Drosophila melanogaster: one gene and its partners. The protein of the gene in region 1 interacts with the protein of each later gene in a pairwise test. Each region holds a gene or a part of one and is shown in the gene's direction. Other genes may lie near its edges.

The links.
Region 2: the proteins of CG13728 (region 1) and opa interact in a two-hybrid assay, tested with the Drosophila melanogaster proteins (one large-scale study listed by BioGRID).
Region 3: the proteins of CG13728 (region 1) and CG17777 interact in a two-hybrid assay, tested with the Drosophila melanogaster proteins (one large-scale study listed by BioGRID).
Region 4: the proteins of CG13728 (region 1) and Cp38 interact in a two-hybrid assay, tested with the Drosophila melanogaster proteins (one large-scale study listed by BioGRID).

The regions. Positions count from the first base shown.
Region 1 is NT_037436.4:17,378,619-17,384,724, reverse strand, and holds CG13728 (uncharacterized protein), read left to right. Parts: upstream 1-1,996; 5' UTR 1,997-2,091; coding exon 2,092-2,205; intron 2,206-2,404; coding exon 2,405-4,552; 3' UTR 4,553-4,699; downstream 4,700-6,106. Other genes in the region: CG13731 (uncharacterized protein), read left to right, coding at 1-697.
Region 2 is NT_033777.3:4,850,375-4,856,228, forward strand, and holds the start of opa (odd paired), read left to right. Parts: upstream 1-2,438; 5' UTR 2,439-2,731; coding exon 2,732-3,680; intron 3,681-5,854. UniProt on the Drosophila melanogaster protein: Transcription factor essential for parasegmental subdivision of the embryo. It is involved in the activation of wingless (wg) in odd parasegments.
Region 3 is NC_004354.4:2,184,629-2,189,175, forward strand, and holds CG17777 (uncharacterized protein), read left to right. Parts: upstream 1-2,226; 5' UTR 2,227-2,300; coding exon 2,301-2,312; intron 2,313-2,519; coding exon 2,520-2,840; 3' UTR 2,841-3,113; downstream 3,114-4,547. Other genes in the region: CG17776 (uncharacterized protein), read left to right, coding at 337-549; CG3457 (uncharacterized protein), read left to right, coding at 3,269-3,847.
Region 4 is NC_004354.4:8,479,511-8,484,362, forward strand, and holds Cp38 (chorion protein 38), read left to right. Parts: upstream 1-2,326; 5' UTR 2,327-2,403; coding exon 2,404-2,448; intron 2,449-2,674; coding exon 2,675-3,550; 3' UTR 3,551-3,801; downstream 3,802-4,852. Other genes in the region: Cp36 (chorion protein 36), read left to right, coding at 1-790.

The DNA.
Region 1 (6,106 bases):
CACCAACAAGCCTCTGCCACCGGTCACCGTTCGCACCACCGTTCGTACCACTCCTCGGCCAACTCTGCCTCCTACCAAGCCACCAACTCGCCCACCAACCACTTACCTGCCACCCCCAACTGTGCGCACCACCCGCCCTCCTCCACCACCCACTCGGCCACCAACTAAGCCACCAACCACTTACTTGCCTCCCGTTACCGTGCGCACCACCCGTGCCACCCCACCACCAACTCGCCCACCAACCCGGCCACCAACCTACCCACCCACCACTCGTCGTTTGACAACCCCGGCTCCTACTTACCTGCCACCCACCAACAAGCCTCTGCCACCGGTCACCGTTCGCACCACCGTTCGTACCACTCCTCGGCCAACTCTTCCACCCACGAGGCCCCCAACTAAGCCACCAACCACCTACCTGCCTCCCCCAACTGTGCGCACCACCCGCCCTCCTCCACCACCCACTCGGCCACCAACTAAGCCACCAACCACCTACCTGCCCCCCGTCACTGTTGTGCGCACCACCCGACCTCCTCCACCACCCACTCGTAGGACCACCGTGTACGTGCCACCACCAACAGTGCGCACCACCGTGTACGTGCCACCCCCTACGCAGCGCACCACAGTCTACGTCCCACCCGCACCCACCAAGCACCAGGGCTACCAGTACCCCGTGCCCAGCATCCCCTTCAACTTCTAGATCTAGAGATCCAGATGTGATTAGGGATAGGGCCATCGTCTAGGGCTAGATTGATCTAGTCAATTCTCGTACAGTCTAACTTTACACGATCCGGCGCCAGCGGTGCTAGAGGGCGCCACTGGTGCGCCTGCAAGGACGACATTTGTTTGTTTTTATTTTATTTTTGTAATTAATGAATCGCATACTCATACAGCTAGGGATCATTGTAAATGAGTGCCCCAATTGTACAGCTAACAGTCTATCCAACTCTTGCTATGTTCTATCACTATTCTACAATCGATGGGCGGCCGTCGTCTGTGACGGACGCCAGCTCAAGACTATATAGCTCTATATTACGATTAAATAAACTTTTAATTCGGATCGCTGAAACCTGAACAATAAAATAAGTTTTTCGAATATTTACAAGCATTTTTTTCATCTGTTTTTGGGAAGCGGAAATTACATGCGGTCCTGTTATGTTATGTGCGATGTTTGAAACCCAAACAATAATAACATATTTTCTTTTTCACTCCTAACCGGGAAATGGGATCAAGCCATGTCCGGGAGATTTTGTGGTCTGGTTGGTCTCGTGGGTTCCTCCTCTTTTGGGAGTTATCTTAAAAGTCGGTTTTAACGACTATGCAAAGGAGATCGTTGCTTGCAAGTCATAAAGCGCCCAAAGTGCAGGTTAGGCAGTTAACCTTGACCTCCACTTCTGGTCTCTACTAATTTAAGTTATGGATGTGAAACACGTTAGCTTAGTTAATAGGTTTGAAAAGTTCGTATGAGTAGGTATTTAAATACATGTATGTTTACTATGAGCGATGTATATTTTCATGAAATATGAAATAATTTAACCTTAGGTTATAATTAAATGTCAAATTTGAGATATAGTTAAAATGTGATTTGAACTTATGACTTTTAAAATATTGAATCGATTTTTTTAATATAATTATTGATTATCACTAAATGTTATCATTTCCCTTTTTAAAAAGTATTTCACTTATATACAAAATTAGAGCTATGGCTAGTCAGCTCCTTCGTGAGTGCATAACCACTTCGGTTTCATCACGCCCCGAAGATATTTCTAGTTACTTCGCAGCTATCTTCAGATTTTCATGGTCAATGCGTTTTTTAATATCTCTTTCTTTTCCACTTGCCTGGGAGCACGAATTCGCCTGAGCAATTAATTTATTTATCTGTCTGTAGCTTGCTGTTTTGCTTTCGCAGCCAAACTCTATTAAACTTTCTAATTAAGCTGTTGCACTTGGGCCGATATAACCGACGCTTTTTAGGCGCCGCCAGCTCCCAGTTGCAATCAGTCATCGTTGCGATCCGCGATGAGGCAGAAGCTCAGGCCCACATTCATCAAGCGATAGGCAAGCCGAGTGGTTCGAGCAGCAGATCCCGGAAAGATGTTCATGCAGTCGGCAGTCGGTCAAGGACAACGGGACACTCGAACGCGACTGGATCCTTGCTGGACTAAAGGCAGGCGGTGGATTATGGGCCTGATCCTGGTGTACACAATAGTGAGTTGAGGATTCGAACCTCTTATACAAAAGGGTTTTTTTTTTATTACGCAGTACAGTGTAATTGGACAATTTTTGTTTGTTGTTTACATATTTTGAGTAACAATTACGCGAAAATCTAGACATGAGGAAAGGGGGCCGTAATTGTACATCTCCCAATTATCTCTTATCTTTGATTTCATTTTGTGTGTACCCGCAGATGTCTCTCATGGTAGTGAAGGTCGCCTCCGCAGCCACTCTTTATCAGCAGCACCAGCAGCAGCAATCTCTGAACGACATTGAGTCCTCAGCAGACGAGCCATCCCAGGCCACCACGGAGATCGAGCCCTCGGACAGCGACAGCGACATCGAGAAGATGCGGGCCAAGCTGCAGCAACTGCAGCACGAGCAGCAGCAACAGTACCTGCGCCAGCAGCAACAGCAACTGCAGCTGCATCTGCAACAGATGCAGGCGACGCAGGGAGCTGCTGGGGAAACCGCCTACTTATTGGAGCGTGCCGATAGCAACATTGCACCCATCTACGGGACGTGGCGCACGAAAGCGCAACGGCAGCAACACGCAACATCTTCGCACGAAACGGACGACGCCCATGTTTACGAGCGCCTGCCCAAGCGATCGGCGACCATGACGCCACTGAGGGGGTTGCTGCGAGATCAGATGCCACGCCCCCCGCGCCTCACCACCCAGGATATGCAATTGTCCCTGGGCTCACCCTCTCCGCCACCGGCGCCCACAAAGGGTTTGCTACGAAGGCAGTACTCCGAAACGCCGGGAACCCGAGCACTTCGAGGTCAGGATGAGTTCAAGCCAAAGCCGTTCCACTTCCCCTACGATGGTCCGATGCCCGAACAGTTCACTAAGGGTGAGGGTCGACCCGAGCTTAACAACATCCAGGATATCCTGCAGCATCTGCACATCGGAGGCTTAGCGCCCAGTAAGCTGCCACCAATGGTGATGATGCCCACGGGTCTACACATCGCCGGTACGTTCAAGAATTTCAAGTCCAGTGGAATAGGGAACTTCTTTCGCGGCAAGCGCAACAAGAAACAGATGCAGTTCACCATACCGATGCCCATGTTCCCCATGATGTCTATGCCAATGCCATGGTATAATCCCGGTGTGATGCCCCACCAAAGGGTGGCCATCGATCAACTGTATCCTTACAAGCCCCGTTCACCGCAGGATGTAAATCTGTTAGCCATGCAGCCAGTGGGAAACGGAAAACCATTGTCTAAAAAGAAGAAAAAGAAGCAACAACAGCACCTTCAGCAGCAACTGCAGCAACAACATCAGCAACAACAGCAGCAACAACAGCTACTGGAGCATGGCAGTCAGCAGCATTTTGTGGCAGATCCCTTCGTGCACCAGCATTTTGCACAGCCTGTGGTCACGCTGAATGCCACACGGCAACCGCATCTGAAAAGGGTTCCTTTTAAGGTCAATCTGGACATATATCCTGTGCTGCCGCCTTCGCGGCCTGCCTCTGTGATGCGGCATCCATTTCAGCAGGACTATGCCCTTCCCTCGCCTGCTGCATTGACTGGTACCACGGCTGCCGCGTATCACATGGGTCAGGGCATTTACCAGACTCCCTTTAAGTTCCCCACCCAACAGCCCGTAGTCTTCCCTGACCAGGCTACCAGATACAGTCAGCAGCAGGCTCTGTACCACAACCAGGCCCACAAGTTTCCGCCACCGAAGAGCGTGCATCCTGAGGAGCCCATTTACGGACAGAGTTCCGGACAGGGTCAAAGTCAAGTGGATAGCCAAACGAACCCCATCATGGTGCACTTGAACGTGTTCCCCAAGCAGAAACCAACTGCCACGATTCGCGCCTCCACCAATCCATTCTACAATCACAACATGCAACGCAACATGATCAACTCGAATGACTTGCCGCCACCCAATCCGCCCAGTCCCATTGAACCAAGACAAGAAGTCAATGGCAGTGGCTCTGGTCTGCAACAACAGCAGCAGCAGCAACACCATCCGTCGCAGCAGCAGCAACACCATCCGTCGCATAATCAAACCCAACAGCAACAGGAAGCGACACAACAGCAACATCTGCAATCCCAGCCAGGAAATCGATCCAGTACCATTTCGCGCAGCGATCACCTGCCGCTTATTGACTTTGAGCATCCTATTGTGGCGGCTGAGCTCCCAGATCATTCCGCCTTGGGCAGCATTCGGCAGGATTATCGATATAGGAAAACACCTGCGGATGAGCACTATCGTTATCCGAAGAGCGCCAATATCGAACAGATGGCAGCGGAGGCCCAGACCGCCTCGCTTTTCCGCTTTCCGGTTGAGGATCTGATACAGTTCCAGGTGGACGATGCTCTCTAACCACTAACTACGCTAGTTGTACTTAGAGTAAGTTAAGGCTAGCTGTTCCGCATTGCAAGGACTTACCTTGAATAATTAAATGAAATATAGCTAAATTGAATGTTTTGTATTTATAATATTATTAATAAAGGTATCTCAATTTCTATTAACAGACGCGATTCTTATTATTCAAATCATGTTTTGGCATTTTATCAGAATTAATTTATTCGGTAGTGGGTTGATAAAAAATGAATAGATTTTGCTAATATGTAGATTGATAGCGCATAATTTAATGTAGTTCAAGTTGTACAAATTCTTAAGGCTTATTTTTAATCGGATCATGAAGTTAATTTACATCTCTGTATGTAATTTTTATTACAAATGTTGTAGTTTGCTTCATATTAAATTAAATTAAAGCAGGGCTATGGATTGTAAATAGGAACCCCTTTAAAAGGTAGGCAATAATGAATCCCGAAAATACTTTTTTCGTGAGCCCAAAAGTGGGCTTCAAACTTCACTGCCAGTTTTCATTGCCAATTCCATTGCGCGTGCGCGAAACCCGCAGCAAAACAGAACCGGCAAGAGCCGAAAACCAGTATTCCGAGCCGAGTCTTTGTGAGCGCCTCTCATTGGAAAGAACGGGCAGCAACAGGTAAGTCCGGCCAGAAGGTAAGCGAGCGTCGCTTCGTACAGACGTGGTCGCGCTTGTAACTCGACTCAAATCGGCATCCGCAAGATACTTTAGAGCAATCCGTAGCAGCAAAAACAACAAGAGCAGCAAGGCGCAAGATCAAGTTTCGGACCCTAGCGTCATCCGTTGTGCGGTTTCGAGTGTGTGTGTTATTTGCGTGCGTTGGCCAAAACCGAAAATATAACCGTGGAATAGTTGACCAGAAATGGTCATTCCGCATTAGTGTTAATTATAGTTTATTTGCCCGAACTGCTTGCCCTAAGCCGACCGCCCAAATTGCATTTACTTCCTGCTTTTTCGCCACGCTCTCTCCTTCTTCCTCTCCGCCATTTCGGTCTCCATTTGCTGTTCTTTTTTGGCCAAAACAAGAACCCATAGATACCTACTATACTATATACCTGAACCAGTCGGCTGCCTGTGTTTATTTGTTTTAGCCGCTTTTGCACATTCCCCTGCTTTTGCTTGCGATCCGTGGTGTGTGGTGTTGGTACCAAAAGAAAGCCATCATCGCCACATTTGCCAATCGCCGAGAAGTGCCCAATGATCGGAACTGGCGAACAGCAGCCGCCTCATCATCATGTGCCACTTTTCACATGTGCATAAAGTGAAATCTTCTGTTCGCTACTAAATTTCTTTTAGATCTCGTCGAAACATCGCTTTTTGGTTTCATATACCCACATTCGCTTTGCACATCATTTGTGGAATGCGATCGAGAGCTGGCAAAAGTTCAAACGGCAAGGCTAAGATAAGCAATTCTGCAAGATCAGCTCAAACTAAGCCTCAGCCCAATCCCATATTCATTTGAGCCAACCCGCGACAAGGCCAACTGGGGGCGGTGCAGCGGCTAGCATTGAAAACTCATTGTTTCGAGCCCAATAAATAAC
Region 2 (5,854 bases), on another chromosome or scaffold:
AACTCTCCATCCCGCACTGGAACTGGAATCTTGAGTCTCGGCTCTGGAATCCCGGGTCTCATGCGAACCCCTGGCAAAAGACCAGTACAGTGCTCACCGCTGTGATCGCGGCATGTGCCAAAGGCGTCCACGCCAGGTTACGGTTTTATTTTGATTTCGGCTCTGACTCTGATGAGTCCGTGCCCATGCCACGCGGCCATGTCCCCAGGTTGTCCCCGACGCCCACCGGTTGGTTGCCCACTTGGTTGTGGCCAAACTGATTAAGCACAGCTGAGGGTTCAGTCCGCTGCTTTTAGGGGTGAAATCGACACCAAAATATGAATACGTCTACTAACACGACGGATTGCAAATAATCAGGGCTTAAAAGAACTCGACTATAAAACATATGGTTGGCTATGATGGAGGAAGATAATTAAAAAATCGCAAAAGCTACAAGATTTTTGATGTTACTTGGATCTTCAGAGCTTCTATTGAACTTGGAATGATTGACTGGGTCGTTAAATTCGTTTTCTGCATTGGAAAGTGGATATTCGGTCTAGTCCAAAATGGACCTCTTGAATCACAGACAACAACAGAAGCTGCAACCTGCTGGGCCAACTTGCATTTTGTTTATCTGGGCATTTTAAATTTATAATTTCTTGTTTGCTAGCGCCTGAGATTGTTTCCCCCGCTCCTTTTTTGTTATTAAGAGTTTATTGCATTTTGCGCTTCCATTTTCAAGTGGCTCGTACGGCATTATTTATGGGAGTAGTTCTATGGCAGTGCGCTAGAAATCCACTTCAGCCGACTGCTCCGTTTGCAGCCCATCATCTGCTCCAACCCGGCGGCTTCGTCCTCATCCTCCATCATCGATATGGAGCAATGGCTTCATTTCGAGTGACACTTGTCGCTGGAGCTCTGCGGGACTGGGTGCCTGCCAGCTCGGTGCACTTTCCGCTGCTTTATGGTCTTGCCCGTCTCCCAAAATGGCATTGGGGTCGGTATGACATTCGGACGACTATGGACTGTCGATTGCCGTCCGCTGATTGCTGATTGCCGCTGAGTTGTTTTGACAATTTAATAGCCGAACCGCTTGGCGGTGACGCTTTATGTCACAATTTGCCCCAATTAATTCATTGCGGAAATCAAGGTAATTAGCATGGAATCACATGGTCTTTTCTTGCTCTCATTCTCATTTAAACTTTACCAGGAAATATTGTTTTCTCAAACGATAAATTCAGGGCAATATATTTGATTAGAAAATACTGTTTTTGAATAAAAATTTGATTACTCAATATATATCCAAATTCAATTTGATTTTAATTATTATCGTTTTAAAAGCTTAAGCAATTTTTAATACTCTGCCAGCAATTACATATCAACCTTAAATTATCTACAGATGAGGACTAGTTCAAAACACGAATACTAAACGAAGACAATTTTGATGTTAACGACCTTCCTTTTGCATCGCTCAGTTTTTGGATTGTAAATAGAAAAAATCATATATTTTGAGAAGAGCGTCTGACTATATACATACAGCATAGTGTTATACCATATTATCACAAAGCAAATGTTTTGTATGAAAATAAATTTATACATTTTTGCCCTATGCAGGCGAAGTATCACTTCACAGTCTGCCCCAAAAGCCACTTTGCCGGGGCACTTAACACTCAGCAGAATCCAATCAAGTCGATTGATACAAGATTATGTATTGATTCGACTACTGCTTATTGAAAATTCCATAAATTAGCAAATGAAAAACAGAGCGTTTGGCGCTAATGAAATCTCGTACGTCTTTATGGCGCAACCTAAACAAAACGGCTGGAAATCTCCGATGTCCGAGCACGGAATGTGCTTAATATCATTAAAATCAATAAAATAAACAACTAATTTGATAAGCTGACAGCTGGGCTACCCGAAGTGGCGGGCTATTCGTCCGCCGTGACAATGAGGAGCGGGCTGGAAAATGCATCCCCGCGAGCTTTCAATTGGCTGCCCGTCGGTCCAATCAGCATTTGGGCCCCCTGCACAGGCGCACGCCGCACGCTGTCGGCCCACCACCCAATGGCCAACCGCAGTGGGTGTTAATTTTCGCGAAACCAGTTTGCCGAGCGAGAGGGCGCTATGGTCGGGTGGGTTCCAATTGGACTGAGTGCGCAGCCTCTGTGCTCTTCTGTCCGACTCTGGAGCATGCGAGGAGGCGGCCATTTTCTTAGAGTTGTCGCACTCGCACCCATGGCTCAGGCCTATCCGACAGAGTGGTGGCTTGTGCCGAATACACCATGGCAAGCGCAACTCACCACAGGCAGGTCATACGCCTGGCCTGCTCGCACTCGCGCTTTCGTTACCCTCTATTCATTTTACGTCGTGCATAGGTCGATCCCATTCGCACGCATGCGATCGTCGGCAGATATTTTCACGAGGCAACACAGCAGCGAGTTAGAATTTCAGGAGCATTTCAGTCCTGCTGCGCATCTTGAAACGTCAAGTCTTGGCATTCGGTTAGCGTCAAGTCTTGCTGCGATTCGAACGCCCCAGAAACGCATCGCGCGCGAGTGCATTACGTAAATAAGTATCAAGTCGCATGCGAAATATCTAAGAGCGAAATAAGCGCACAGTATATACAGCTAAGTGAGGTGACCTCAGTGCGTGATGGGCTCATTGGCCTAGCAAAGTGCGAATCGAAAACTTGTAGTTCAGTTCTTTCTGAATTAATTTTAAAAACATATAAGCGAGCAATAACACTGTAACCATGATGATGAACGCCTTCATTGAGCCGGCTCAGCACCACCTGGCCAGCTACGGGCTGCGAATGTCGCCCAACACCACCGCCAGTAACAGCAACGCGCAGCAGCAACAGCAGCAGCAACTGGAGATGACCCAACAGCAGCAGCAACAACAGCAACAACAGCAGCAGCAACAGCAACAGGATCAGGAATCCGCGGCGGCCACTGCTGCAGCCTATCAGAACTCCGGATATGGGCACTTTAACAGCTATGCCTCCCGGGACTTTTTGCTGGGCAGGAGGGAGGCCGAGTACGGTGTGGCAGGATCCGCCGGACAGGCCTCCGCCGCAGCGGATTCCATGCTCTTCTCCGGCTTTCCCGCTCAGGCCGCGGAGCTGGGCTCCGGGTTCGGACAACACCCCTTCCACAGCCACCATCACCACCATCAGATGCGAATGGGCATGGCGGATGCCTACGCCGCCGGCCACCCGTACAACCACCACGGCAACTTCCCGACGGCGGCAGTGCACCACCCGGTCGTGCACCACCCGTCCCACCACGCCATGTCCGCGATGCACCCGGCCGGAGCAGGGGCCTTCCTGCGCTACATGCGCCATCAGCCGGCCTCGTCCGCCTCCAGCGTTAAGCAGGAGATGCAGTGCCTCTGGATAGACCCCGACCAGCCGGGCCTGGTGCCCCCGGGCGGCAGGAAGACCTGCAACAAGGTATTCCACTCGATGCACGAGATCGTCACCCACCTGACCGTGGAGCACGTGGGCGGACCCGAGTGCACCACCCACGCCTGCTTCTGGGTGGGCTGCTCTCGCAACGGACGCCCTTTCAAGGCCAAGTACAAGCTGGTCAACCACATCCGCGTCCACACCGGCGAGAAACCTTTCGCCTGCCCGCACCCGGGTTGCGGCAAGGTCTTCGCCCGGAGCGAGAACCTCAAGATCCACAAGCGGACGCATACAGGTAAGTGTGGCGGTGCATTCCGCTTTATATTTAAACCATATTAAACCATTCATTAAACTAAGAAAATACTTTTATTTAGTTTTGGTTTGGCAGTCAAATTCTGTGTGTAATTATTCCTGTTTTATAAAGATCTTAATACTAATAGAAAGTCGAAGCCTTATGCAGATTTTAACCGCTTATATTTAGAATAGCACATGCTAGGTCTGCAATCTCTTAGAATTCACCTTGCGTGGGCATAACCCTTGCCCGCCTGGGCAAATCCCGGACGTTGTCGATGTGAGCGTGTTACCGACGGCAAAAGTCGTTGCAACGCCCACTACCTGGCTTAACCCGCCACTGGCCGGGCGGGTCATCTTTTATGACACCTGTAAAACCTGCGCCCAAAGCTCTTCCGCGCCCAGAAAATCCCGCAAAGATGTTGTCCTTACGGCTAGGATTACTCTACGGCTTTAGGTTGACTTCGACTTTTGGTCTTAGTATTTCCCTAAGCCTGCGACTTCTCTTGACTTTGGATTTTGACTGGCATGTATTTAACTACGTTTGGAAACTTGGTCAAATTTGTAAAGGAACTGAAAAATTTAGTTTAGCTACTCCTTTGTTTTTTATACTTTAAGCCTTGTTGTCGGCTTCAGATTTTGTATTATTTAATAATAATGGCTTACTATTACTTTGATAGCCAACCGCTCTATGCAAATTCTCAATATAATTAATTTTTCTTAAATCCATCATTAATCATGCCCATTTCAAGCATTTCTCTTTCAATTGTCTTTCAAAAATAAATTAAAATCGCTTTGCAGCTCATAGCCTGAACACTTTTGAAAAAACATAGCCATAGTTGGAGGCTTTAAAATACAATTTATGCGGTATAGTCGTGATCTATGAGAAGTCGAACTATAAAGCCAGAAACGGAGCTTAACGCAAATTAATGACTTTGATTCCAGTGGCTGTTGAACTTGTTCCATTGAAATTTATGGCTGAGCATGTAGGGCTCATTAGAAGCGGCGAAACACAGCCATTAAAATCAATTAACAAGTGGAAGTTGGGAAAGCAAACATGAAATGCGAAAACACAAAACAAAGTTTCGCATAATTGGTGAAAAGAGCGCCAATCAGGTTAATAAACTTTCCAGCAAATATCGCTTGGTCCTGGATTATCCTTGATTGACCTCAGCCTTGGCGTAATTAACTTGGAAATTGGAGGAGAAGAATGAAAATATGGCCAGCAATATTCCGCAATATCCAGCATGCTTATATTTTGTTGTTTTAATGTTGGCTTTTGGCATTTGTTGTTGCCTCTTTATTTCTATTATTTTGTAATTTGGCCTCATGATTCCAAATTGAATTAAAATAAGACGTCGGGCTTCATTATAGCTTCATCTTGTAGTTACCGCGATTATAAACTCACAAAGAAATTCATAAATCACAGAATTAGCCACACAAAAAAGCTATTTCTGTAAATCTGTTCGGACAACAGTATTTTCTTTTGCACACTCATCGAAAGGTAATTAAAATGTTTCGATTTGATTTCGAGACGCCGCCATATTGTGTTCGATTTTGGAACAATCATGTGGCATTATAATGAGTTGGTTGCTGTATGATGATATTTTTGACTAATTTCATATTTCTTTTCTCCGCCGTGATGCAGCAGAAAAGTGCATTTTAGGACCTCTGACTGATTTGTGTGTGCCTATGATTGGTTGACCTGGCTACACATTGTCGGAGATAGCCAACATATTGATTAGCTTTCAAGTGGCCGGCGCACAACTTCATTACGGATCGGGATCGAGCTGGGATCGGTCTGGTATCTGGCTGGGATCGGGGCCTTTAACCTTTCCATACGACTCGGGCACTTGAAGTAGCATCCTCCACACCGCATAAATCAAAAATTCAATCAGCATCGCTGGCTCGGCTAAATGTCCCTTGGCACTGGTGTTTGTTTTTATTGCATTGACACCGCCGACCCAGGGCAAATAAACACACTCGAACACACTGTGTTGACACGTGTCAAAACTTCCGTTTGAAATGGCTCGGAAATGCTTCCGAGGCACTCCGTGCTGGCCCTCTCAAAAAAGCCATCGAAACCGAAATTGGGGTAACACTCGCCGGATTACTGGACGCATTCGCACATTCGCATTCCACTCCTCTAGCTTTATTTTATTTGCGCTGCGATTGTTT
Region 3 (4,547 bases), on another chromosome or scaffold:
ACACGTGCGTATAGGTGTATATCGATTGGCCAGAGATCAGCGATATTATTAATCGGCGATTTAAGTTAAGCCTTTTCCAGCTAGAGTAGCTAAAAGTGAGATTAACGATAAAACGACGTTAAACGAGTGAGACTCAAAGCTAAATGGGACATTTGGAACGATTTCCTAAAATTCACTTAAAAATATAGTACTCATTCGACTGTCTTCATCTTTATTTTGGCTAGTAAATGTACGCCCAATTATCGATACATTCGCCGCCGTCATCACTGACAGACCAGCTGAGGCGACGGACTCGACTGCCGGAAACTTTTATGGACTTGGAAGGGATTTGCCGCCATGCAGAAGAAGCCGATTAACACCAACACGCTGCTGGACAAGCTGCACCGCGGCGCGGTGTATGCCTGCATTGGAGTCACCCTGTACGGCACCTACATCCTGGGAATGCGCTACTACCACTACTGCACGGTCATCCGACCGGAGAAGCAGCAGGCGGAGCTGAAGCTCCTGGACGAGGGAGCCCACGACAAGGCCAAGGAACTGAAGTACTAGGCGCGCCCTCCTCCGCCCCTTTAATTGTTAAATGTCTGTTAAGCGCAATAAACTGTAAGGAAATGTAAGCATTTTCAGCTGAAAACGGCCAACGCCGGTTGTTGTTGTGTAACCTCGGACAGCTGGCCAAAGTGGAGGACCGTCGGCAGGCCCGGTGGGATTGTAAGATTCCAGATTCAAGATCTAACCCTGGAACCAAGCCAACAATGCGCAATTAGCCGTCTGGGCCGTAAATCAAACTGGTCGGCTACAATGGGAAATCAATCAATCGACAGCGACATGGACATCGACCCGTTCGGCGGACTAGACTTAGTCAAGAATTATAATTTAGCTGGCAATCAAATATGTTGTCATCTCCGGATCGTGACCAGGTCCCAGTCCATAGACCAAACCCCTTGGCTGCTTGGTCTTCCGCTTGCCCAACGCGTCTCGCGTGCATTCACCTCCAATGGGCAGAGCATAAATATTAAACGATGTGGATACGAAAACAACCGCGGGGAGAAGGAGACAATGGCGGTGCCACCCACTTTTGGCCAGAGATGGCGAGACGTCGTCGATTGGGAAAATCTTTTGCATGCTTCATTCAACAATGTTGCCTCCGGCGTTGCTTCATTCATGACTTGGGAACTCGGAGCAGCAAAAGCAACAGCCGCAGCAGACTGCAATTGCGATTTGCAATTGCCACTGCGGTCAAGGTCGTCCTTTATTGTGTGGGCACGGCACTGGGTACTGGGTAGCAAGTACCCCCGGCAGACGGAAGTGATCGAGAATAATGGAACGCGCAGAACAGAGTCGTCTGCCCAAATGGCTATCAAATTGTTTTAAAACTTTAGTATATTAAGCAAAAGCTGTGCTCCTCTGAATAGAAGATCTCTTCAACCTAGTTTCAAGCCCATTAAAACTAATGACCATTGACCTGGTCACCGATCCTTGTCCCAATATACCCCTTAAGCCAGAGGTCTCCGTCAAAGTCGTGCACTTTGGATATTCTGTCGATAAGACTTTGCATTGGAAATGATCTGGCAGAGATCTCAGCTGTCTGGCAGCTTAATTAAAATGCCAAAACGCTGCCAAACGTGCAATTGTTTGTAATTTGTGTATAATGCTGGCGCGCATATGCGATTCCCACGGGGCCAGTGGCATCCCAGCATTTGGCCAGCTTCTGAACGAGCTTAGGTAATAGTGCGCCTTTTGGGCGCTGCTGGCCATCCGATCTGGCAGTGAAAGTGTTACACGATATGCATACCGTGTACGAGAGGGGCACTTGGTGATTGTGGAACGCGTCGAGTGTCTCGTGTTGCACGTTGCTTGTGGATCGCGTTGCTGCCCCACTTCGGTTACCCAACGAGCCTGGGATCTTAGAATTTCGACTACGCTGGCAATTATAACCGATATCGTTAGTTTCCACGCCCACTCCACCTCACTCCCCCCACTGCAATCCTCCGCCAAGTTCTCCTCCGCCGGATGAGCGGATGGATGACCTTTTGGCTCCGCAGCATAAACAATATTCGGTTTCAAGTCCTCAACCCGTCATGCATTCAATTCAGCTGCAACAATCGCTGCTGCTGCTGCTGCTGCCGCCGTTATTGTCAGTTTGCATAATTGCAACTGTAGCAGCAACTGGCAACAATAAGCCAAGCCGGGTGACTATAAAAGCGTCGGGCCACTGGCAGCCATCAACAAACCTCGCCTGGCGCCCTACCCATCAAGTCAACCAGCCAACAGCCACTAGCAACATCTGCAGCAGCAACATGAAGTTCTTGGTAAGCAGCAACACCAGGACATTAGGATACCAGGATACCAGGACACCGGTCAAGCAAACGAGTGGACTTTTTTTTGAGTGACAGTTTATCCAACAAAATACAAGTTATTTAAAATTGCTGGAAGTGCTCTGGCTACAATTTGAAACAAATCATTTGTTAACATCGTTTCAAATGTTTCATATACCGAACCTTTTTTTCTCTGTGCAGTGCGTGTTCGTCATCCTGGCCATTTGCTTCATGAGCACCTGGGCAGCAGTTTCGGAGCCTGCTCCTGAAGCTCTGGAGCCGGAGCCATCCGCCGTGGATGAGAAGAAGACGGAGAAGAGAGGCATCTACGGGTTCGGCCACGGCTATGGCGGCTACGGCGGATACGGCGGATACGGTGCCTATGGACACGGTCACTACGGCGGCTACGGTGGACTGAGCAGTCCCTACTACGGCGGCTACGGATACGTCCATGCGGCGCCCTACTACGGCGGACACCACGGCTACTATCCGTACCACCATGGCCACTACGGCTTCTACTAGGACCACTACCTATCCCCAAGATCGTAATGCATACTGTTTTTTTTTTCTCGATCGCTCCATGCTCATCACTGCACCATCATTCGTATATGTATATGTACTGGTTTTCCCCCATCATTCACCGCAATATAAATGTACTGCAAATAGCGAATACATTACTCGCATGTCTTTGAATTTGGGTTGGATGTAGTACAAATATGATATATGTACATATGTAAACAAAGTTAAATCCTACTCAACAATAAAGAATCGATTACATTGCATATGTATGACAGTAAAAGTGATTTTCGGTCACTCTATGGGGGCCAGTGAAGGTATAAAGCCGCTATTGGCCCAGTGACTGTTATACAAAAGTCACTGTTCTAATTGCGATCGGCGCGTGACCACCAGTCTTTCGGATCATCAGCAAAAATCAGGAATTCGACTTCGAGATGCTGAAGCGCGATCTGCAGAAAATCACACTCAAGCTGTCCGATCTCAAGGACTATGAGGTTGCCCGCCAAAAGAACAAGTTAAAGGGCGCCCCGCGACCTAGGCTTTCTCAGGACGCCCTCCCCGGAGACGACGCCTCCACTTCGGGAACAACGGCAAGTTGCAGTTCCAACACGGAAACGGCCACGGAAACCGCATCGGGATCCGGATCAGGGTCTGGATCGGGCTCGGGTTCTGGGTCCGGGTCGTACATTACGGGAATGGGCTACCGTTCGGAGACACCCTCCTCCGCATCGTACACCACGTCGACGACCCCGACTCCGGCCACTCAGGAGGAGATACTGAGACCCTCGTCCGCCGTCACGGCCACCACAACCACTGGCACCACTAATTCCGGCTCCACGGATGACGTGAGCGTGGCGGCCGTAGTGGATGACACGGATACCATTGACGAAATCAGCGATGACAACTGGGTGGACCTGAATGCGGACACCAACGATACCGTTGATACCCAGCCGGAGGAGCAGGACCAACTGCAAGAGGTGGAGGAGGAGGATGGGGCTAGGGGAGGAGTGTAATCCTGACCGCTTATCGCGTTATGAAAACATAGCGCAGCTGCACTCAAAGCCCACCCCCCCCCCCCCCATTTCACATTCCATTTATCATAACAATTTGTATACGTAAACAAGTATAATAACCCATTGCATGCTCCACTTACCTAGCTGCTAATAATAATAGTTTGCAAGGTTATATGTCGCTTATGTCATCTTCAAATCGAAACATATGCATTTTATAGATTTGGTTAACTACGGTAAATGGTTTTGCGGCCTTTTAATCGGGAGGACGTGCGATCGGATTATATCGAGTGGGGAATGCGGGTCCTCCTAATTGGCTCTCCTCAGAAGGAGCTAGGCAAGCGGCAGACGACAACAAGTGGCTTATGGCCACCGGCAACAGGTGGACGCAGTGGAGTGGGCACTAGGGACTGTTGTGGAACGAGATGCTATTCAAGCGCCCAAGGGGTACGTGCAACGTGACTTGAGCCGTACAAAGCGGAGGAGGGGGTGGCCTCCAACGGAGCTGCCTCCACGAAAGCTTCCCTCAAAAGCTGAAAAGCTCGCAGGCATCGGCGCTGCATTCAAAATACGTGGCCATACTGTTTTCGGGCGGCAGGCTGGCCAAAACGGCGGTTTGAACTCAATCCCATCCGATTCGGCTCGGCTCGGCAGTACGGAGCACGGCAAACGGACGACGGAAAGTGGATAGCGGATAGCGGAT
Region 4 (4,852 bases), on another chromosome or scaffold:
TGGTCCCGCTGGCGGACACGGACACGGACATGGACATGGACAGTACCTGTCCGGTCCCAATGCCGGACTCGAGGAGTACGTGAATGTGGCGTCTGGTGGCAACCAGCAGGCTGCCAATCAGATCGCCTCACAGGCCGAGATCCAGCCCACGCCGGAGGAGGCCCGTCGTTTGGGTCGCGTCCAGGCCCAACTTCAGGCCCTCAATGCCGATCCCAACTACCAGAAGCTGAAGAACTCCGAGGATATTGCCGAATCTCTGGCCGAGACCAATCTGGCCAGCAATATCCGTCAGGGCAAGATCAAGGTGGTGTCGCCACAGTTCGTTGACCAGCATCTGTTCCGCTCCCTGTTGGTGCCATCGGGCCACAACAATCACCAGGTGATCGCCACCCAGCCCCTGCCACCAATCATTGTCCACCAGCCTGGTGCACCACCAGCCCATGTGAACAGCGGCCCACCGACTGTGGTGCGCGGCAATCCGGTGATCTACAAGATCAAGCCCTCGGTCATCTACCAACAGGAGGTGATCAACAAGGTGCCCACTCCGCTGAGCCTCAACCCCGTCTACGTGAAGGTCTACAAGCCCGGCAAGAAGATCGAGGCTCCACTGGCCCCGGTGGTTGCACCCGTCTACAGCCAGCCCAGGGAGTACAGCCAGCCCCAGGGTTATGGTAGTGCCGGAGCTGCTTCCTCCGCCGCCGGTGCCGCCTCCTCTGCCGATGGCAATGCCTACGGCAACGAGGCTCCACTGTACAACAGCCCCGCGCCCTATGGCCAGCCCAACTACTAAGGTGCTCATCCTGGGCATGGGTTGCTCCTCAGCTGCGACAGCTGGTTTAATTTAAATTTTTGTTTTTTTTTTTCTTTGCCGAACTACTGAGCGCAAATAAATGAAAAAAAAATACTTGAAACGTAAACGTTTTGTCATCAATTATTTTCGACCGGAAGGGGCTACCTGAGTGGCAATGAAGCACACAGATTAAGCACATATTTATGAATATATAAATATATACGAATGCATGAGAGAACAAAAAATTATATCTAGTTTTCTTCAAAAATAAATAATAAAGGGGAAAATGGTATAAAGTATGAACATAAAATTATGAACGAGTATAAATAAGTTTGTAATTGAAATCTCTACGGTCATACAAGTATTTTAACTATTCTATAAATATGCATAAACATGGTACGCATTTTATGAGATACAATTCGAAAGATATTGGATAGCATTATCATGCATGAAATTATTTCACACTCTTGTGATGGTAGCTATCTTATTCCAGTTATCGTTTAATTGCAAAGAATGGGATCAAAAGGTCATCTTTATCAACATATTGTTGATTCCGGAATGAATAATAAATAATAACATAACTATGAATTAATGGAGCAACTATAATTTTACGGCCTCTTTTCTTTTAAACAAAGAATATAGCACTTTTAATGCATTAAATACGTATTTAAACCTTTTCTTTTGAAACGCCAAATTCATATTAGAGTTTCATAAGATTGTTTTAAAACATAACAACATAATAATTGAAGAATTGGAAATCTTTTTAGGTGTTTGTAAGCCTTTGAATTCCTAATTGGAATAGCTAAAGATCCATATTTCATCTTCAAATCTCTTTGCAACTAGAGATTTATTTTATCTGGCAATTATTAAGTATACATTTTTATATGGTACTTTAAACTGATGGTTTAATCAGTTACATGGATTTTCTAAATTAAAAATGGTCATGTGAAGATAGCCACTCTTCTAACAATCTAATCACATTTATAGTAAGAAATACAATACAATACAATACAATACAATACAATACAATACAATACAATAGAAAGACAATCGAATCTGCGCAATCCGTGTGAAATTCAAGGACTACAGCTGGGTGGCTAATCATTTCCCCCTATCCACTTACACCTCGGATTACCTCTTATTCCGACTCCCGGAGTCTTGTGTCTGCCAATGCGGAACTATTTTCGCTATCTGAACAGACGTTCGGACCTCGATATGCGGCAAAGATTCACAGCCCGGCTGTTGATTCCGATTCGGTGGCAATGTGTTCGTTGTTATTGTAAAACGGGCAATGGCAACTGGGCAGTGGGCAGTGGGGTTTTCGGGTTGTGGCTTCTACGTAAGTGGAAGAGACGCCGTGATATGCGCTGGCAGCGATGCGTGCGATCTATCAACATTTGGCCATGTTTCGTTCGCATCGCGTGGGCCCGGAGCGGAACAGCCGGCACCGGAGTTGGCATCAATCCAAATGTCACGTACCCGGAGCCGGAGACGCGTCCGGAGCATATTTAAAGTAGTCGGCCACCAATGGAGGGCAGCAGAAGACAGCAGACAGTCCAAGCGGGAGCACACCAGAAGCCGAAGAGCAACTGGAACTGCAACTGGGAGACAAGATGACGAGATCGACCTACATTTGGGCGCTGGCCGCCTGCCTGATCGTAAGTGTTCAAGCTCGAAATCTTAGGATTAATCCCAAGAAAACCAAGTCTATCAATTCTGACTGCTTTCGTTTGTGCCATGTAAATCGTACATGAAAAGCAAATTGACTTTCCTTTAAATTACTTGAAACGGAATCAAGCTATCTATCGATGCTAGACTTATTTTAAGTATATGTATATGTCGATCCAATTCTAATCCACCCCCCCCCCCTCAATTTACTTTTAGGCCTGTGCAAGCGCCAACTACGGCAGTTCCCAGGGCTATGGACCCGAGTCCGGAAGCGGTGCCTCCGATGGCGGTGCTGATGCCGCTTCAGCGGCCGCAGCAGCTGCCGGCGGTGCCGGTGGAGCTGGTGGCGAGTACGGTGGTGCTAACGCCGGTGCTGGTGCTCTCGAATCCGGAGCCGATGCCGCCGGTGTGGCACAGGCTGGCCAGAGCAGCTACGGATCCGACCAGAACATTCCGTACAAGCCGGTGAACACCAAGGGTAACACCCTGACCTCATCGATCACCTACCCGCAGAACAAGGGCGAGATCCTCATCCATCGTCCCGCTCCCATCATTGTCAAGCGTCCGCCCACCAAGGTGCTGGTGAACCATCCACCATTGGTGGTTAAGCCCGCTCCCGTGGTGCTCCACAAGCCCCCAGCAATCGTTCTCCGCAAGGTCTACGTCAAGCACCACCCACGTCGCGTCAAGGTTGAGCCCGTGTTCGTCAATGTGGTCAAGCCCCCAGCAGAGAAGTACTTTGTCAACGAGAACAAGCAGGGCTACGGACAGGGCTCGCAGTCCCACGGACACGGCCATGGACACGGTGGCCATGGACACGGACACAGCGGACACGGACACGGTGGACACGGTGCTGGACCCCATGGTCCTGGACCCCATGACGGTGGCCGTGCTCTGCCCGCCTACGCTTCGGGAGCTGATTCCGCTGCCGCCAGCGCTGGCTATCAGCTGCTCCAGAGCGGCAACCAGGGTCTGTCCGCTCTTGCCAACATCGCCGGCGAGCGTGAGGGTCCCTATGGTCCCGCTCCAAGCCATCAGCACTATAGCGCCGGTCCAGCCGGACATGGCGGCTATGCTGCTCCCGCCTATTAGGTAACAGATGCGGAGGAGTTACGGATTGGATGACTGCTGCGGCTCCGGAATCAACTGAAGCGGCTGGTTTAGTCATTCGCTTATCCGGCTGATTAGTTACTATGTTTTTTTTACAAAAAAAAAAAAAAAAAACAGCCTGATCGACCAACGCCCATGCCTACGCCCACGCCCACTCATGCACACCCCAATACCACCCACTCACCCATTCAACGGCCCAGGAGGGGCGTGGCACTCAGGTTTCTTTGCAAAACAAATAAAAAATTTGAACAAAAAAAAAAAAACAATTATACCCAAGCTGAATGTTGTTTTCGATGAAGGGTGAAATCTAGATGCTAGTTATATTTAAATTAAACTATCATTAGATATATACTCTAATTGATAGTTATTGATAGTCTTGCGACTCATTTTAAACTTGATACACTTATAGCATAGACAGTGAGTAATATCATTGATATTATTATATAATTATTGTTACACAAAGTGCATATGATGAGAATCGATTTAATGATGGGAGAACTGACTTACCCGCAACTTTATTCGCAGCAACAAGTGTCGCATATAATAAATACAATAAATCCGAAACGCAGGCTGTCATTACACACATCGTTTGGTTGTCCTTCCCCATTGTTGTGCGTTATGCCAATGGCATCCCACGCAATTGTTCAATAACAAACGGGCGGCAAAATCGGCTATAATGATAGGTAAGGCAAAGAAGAGCTCGGCTGATGACAGGTGGAATCGCAATTTAGGTCGCCCAGTGCCGCCCATTTGGCAGTTTGAAAATTCAGCATAAAAATGCGATACCTTTGCACAGAGATTTCAGTCTGTAAGCAGAAATAAATTGAGAGCATTAATAAAATAACCAACTAAACAGAATTATTAAAGCGAGCCAAAACAAATCGGTTTCAAGTTCAAATATTTTTTTTTGCGAACACTTTTCGGTGATAAAAAAAAAAAAAACAAAACCAAATAACCAACAACAGAGGCGAAATGAGTCACTTATGCTTCCTTGTAATGGGTTTGTGTTTCGCAATAATCGCCTACTGTTCTGGACAAGTTAGTATTGTTTTAACAATGACTGATATGTTAACCATAGAATAACAACAAATAATACCTATAACAAATTTTGTCCAGGGTATCACAGAAAGTCCTTATAACCGAAATTGTTACAGAGACATATATTGCTTATTGGCCGATTCAAATTAAACAAACCATACAGGTACGTTGGTGAATTGAAATATTAAACTTATGTACAAAGATTTCTGTGATACCATCGTATTATTAGCTTCCAAGTTCTTTAGT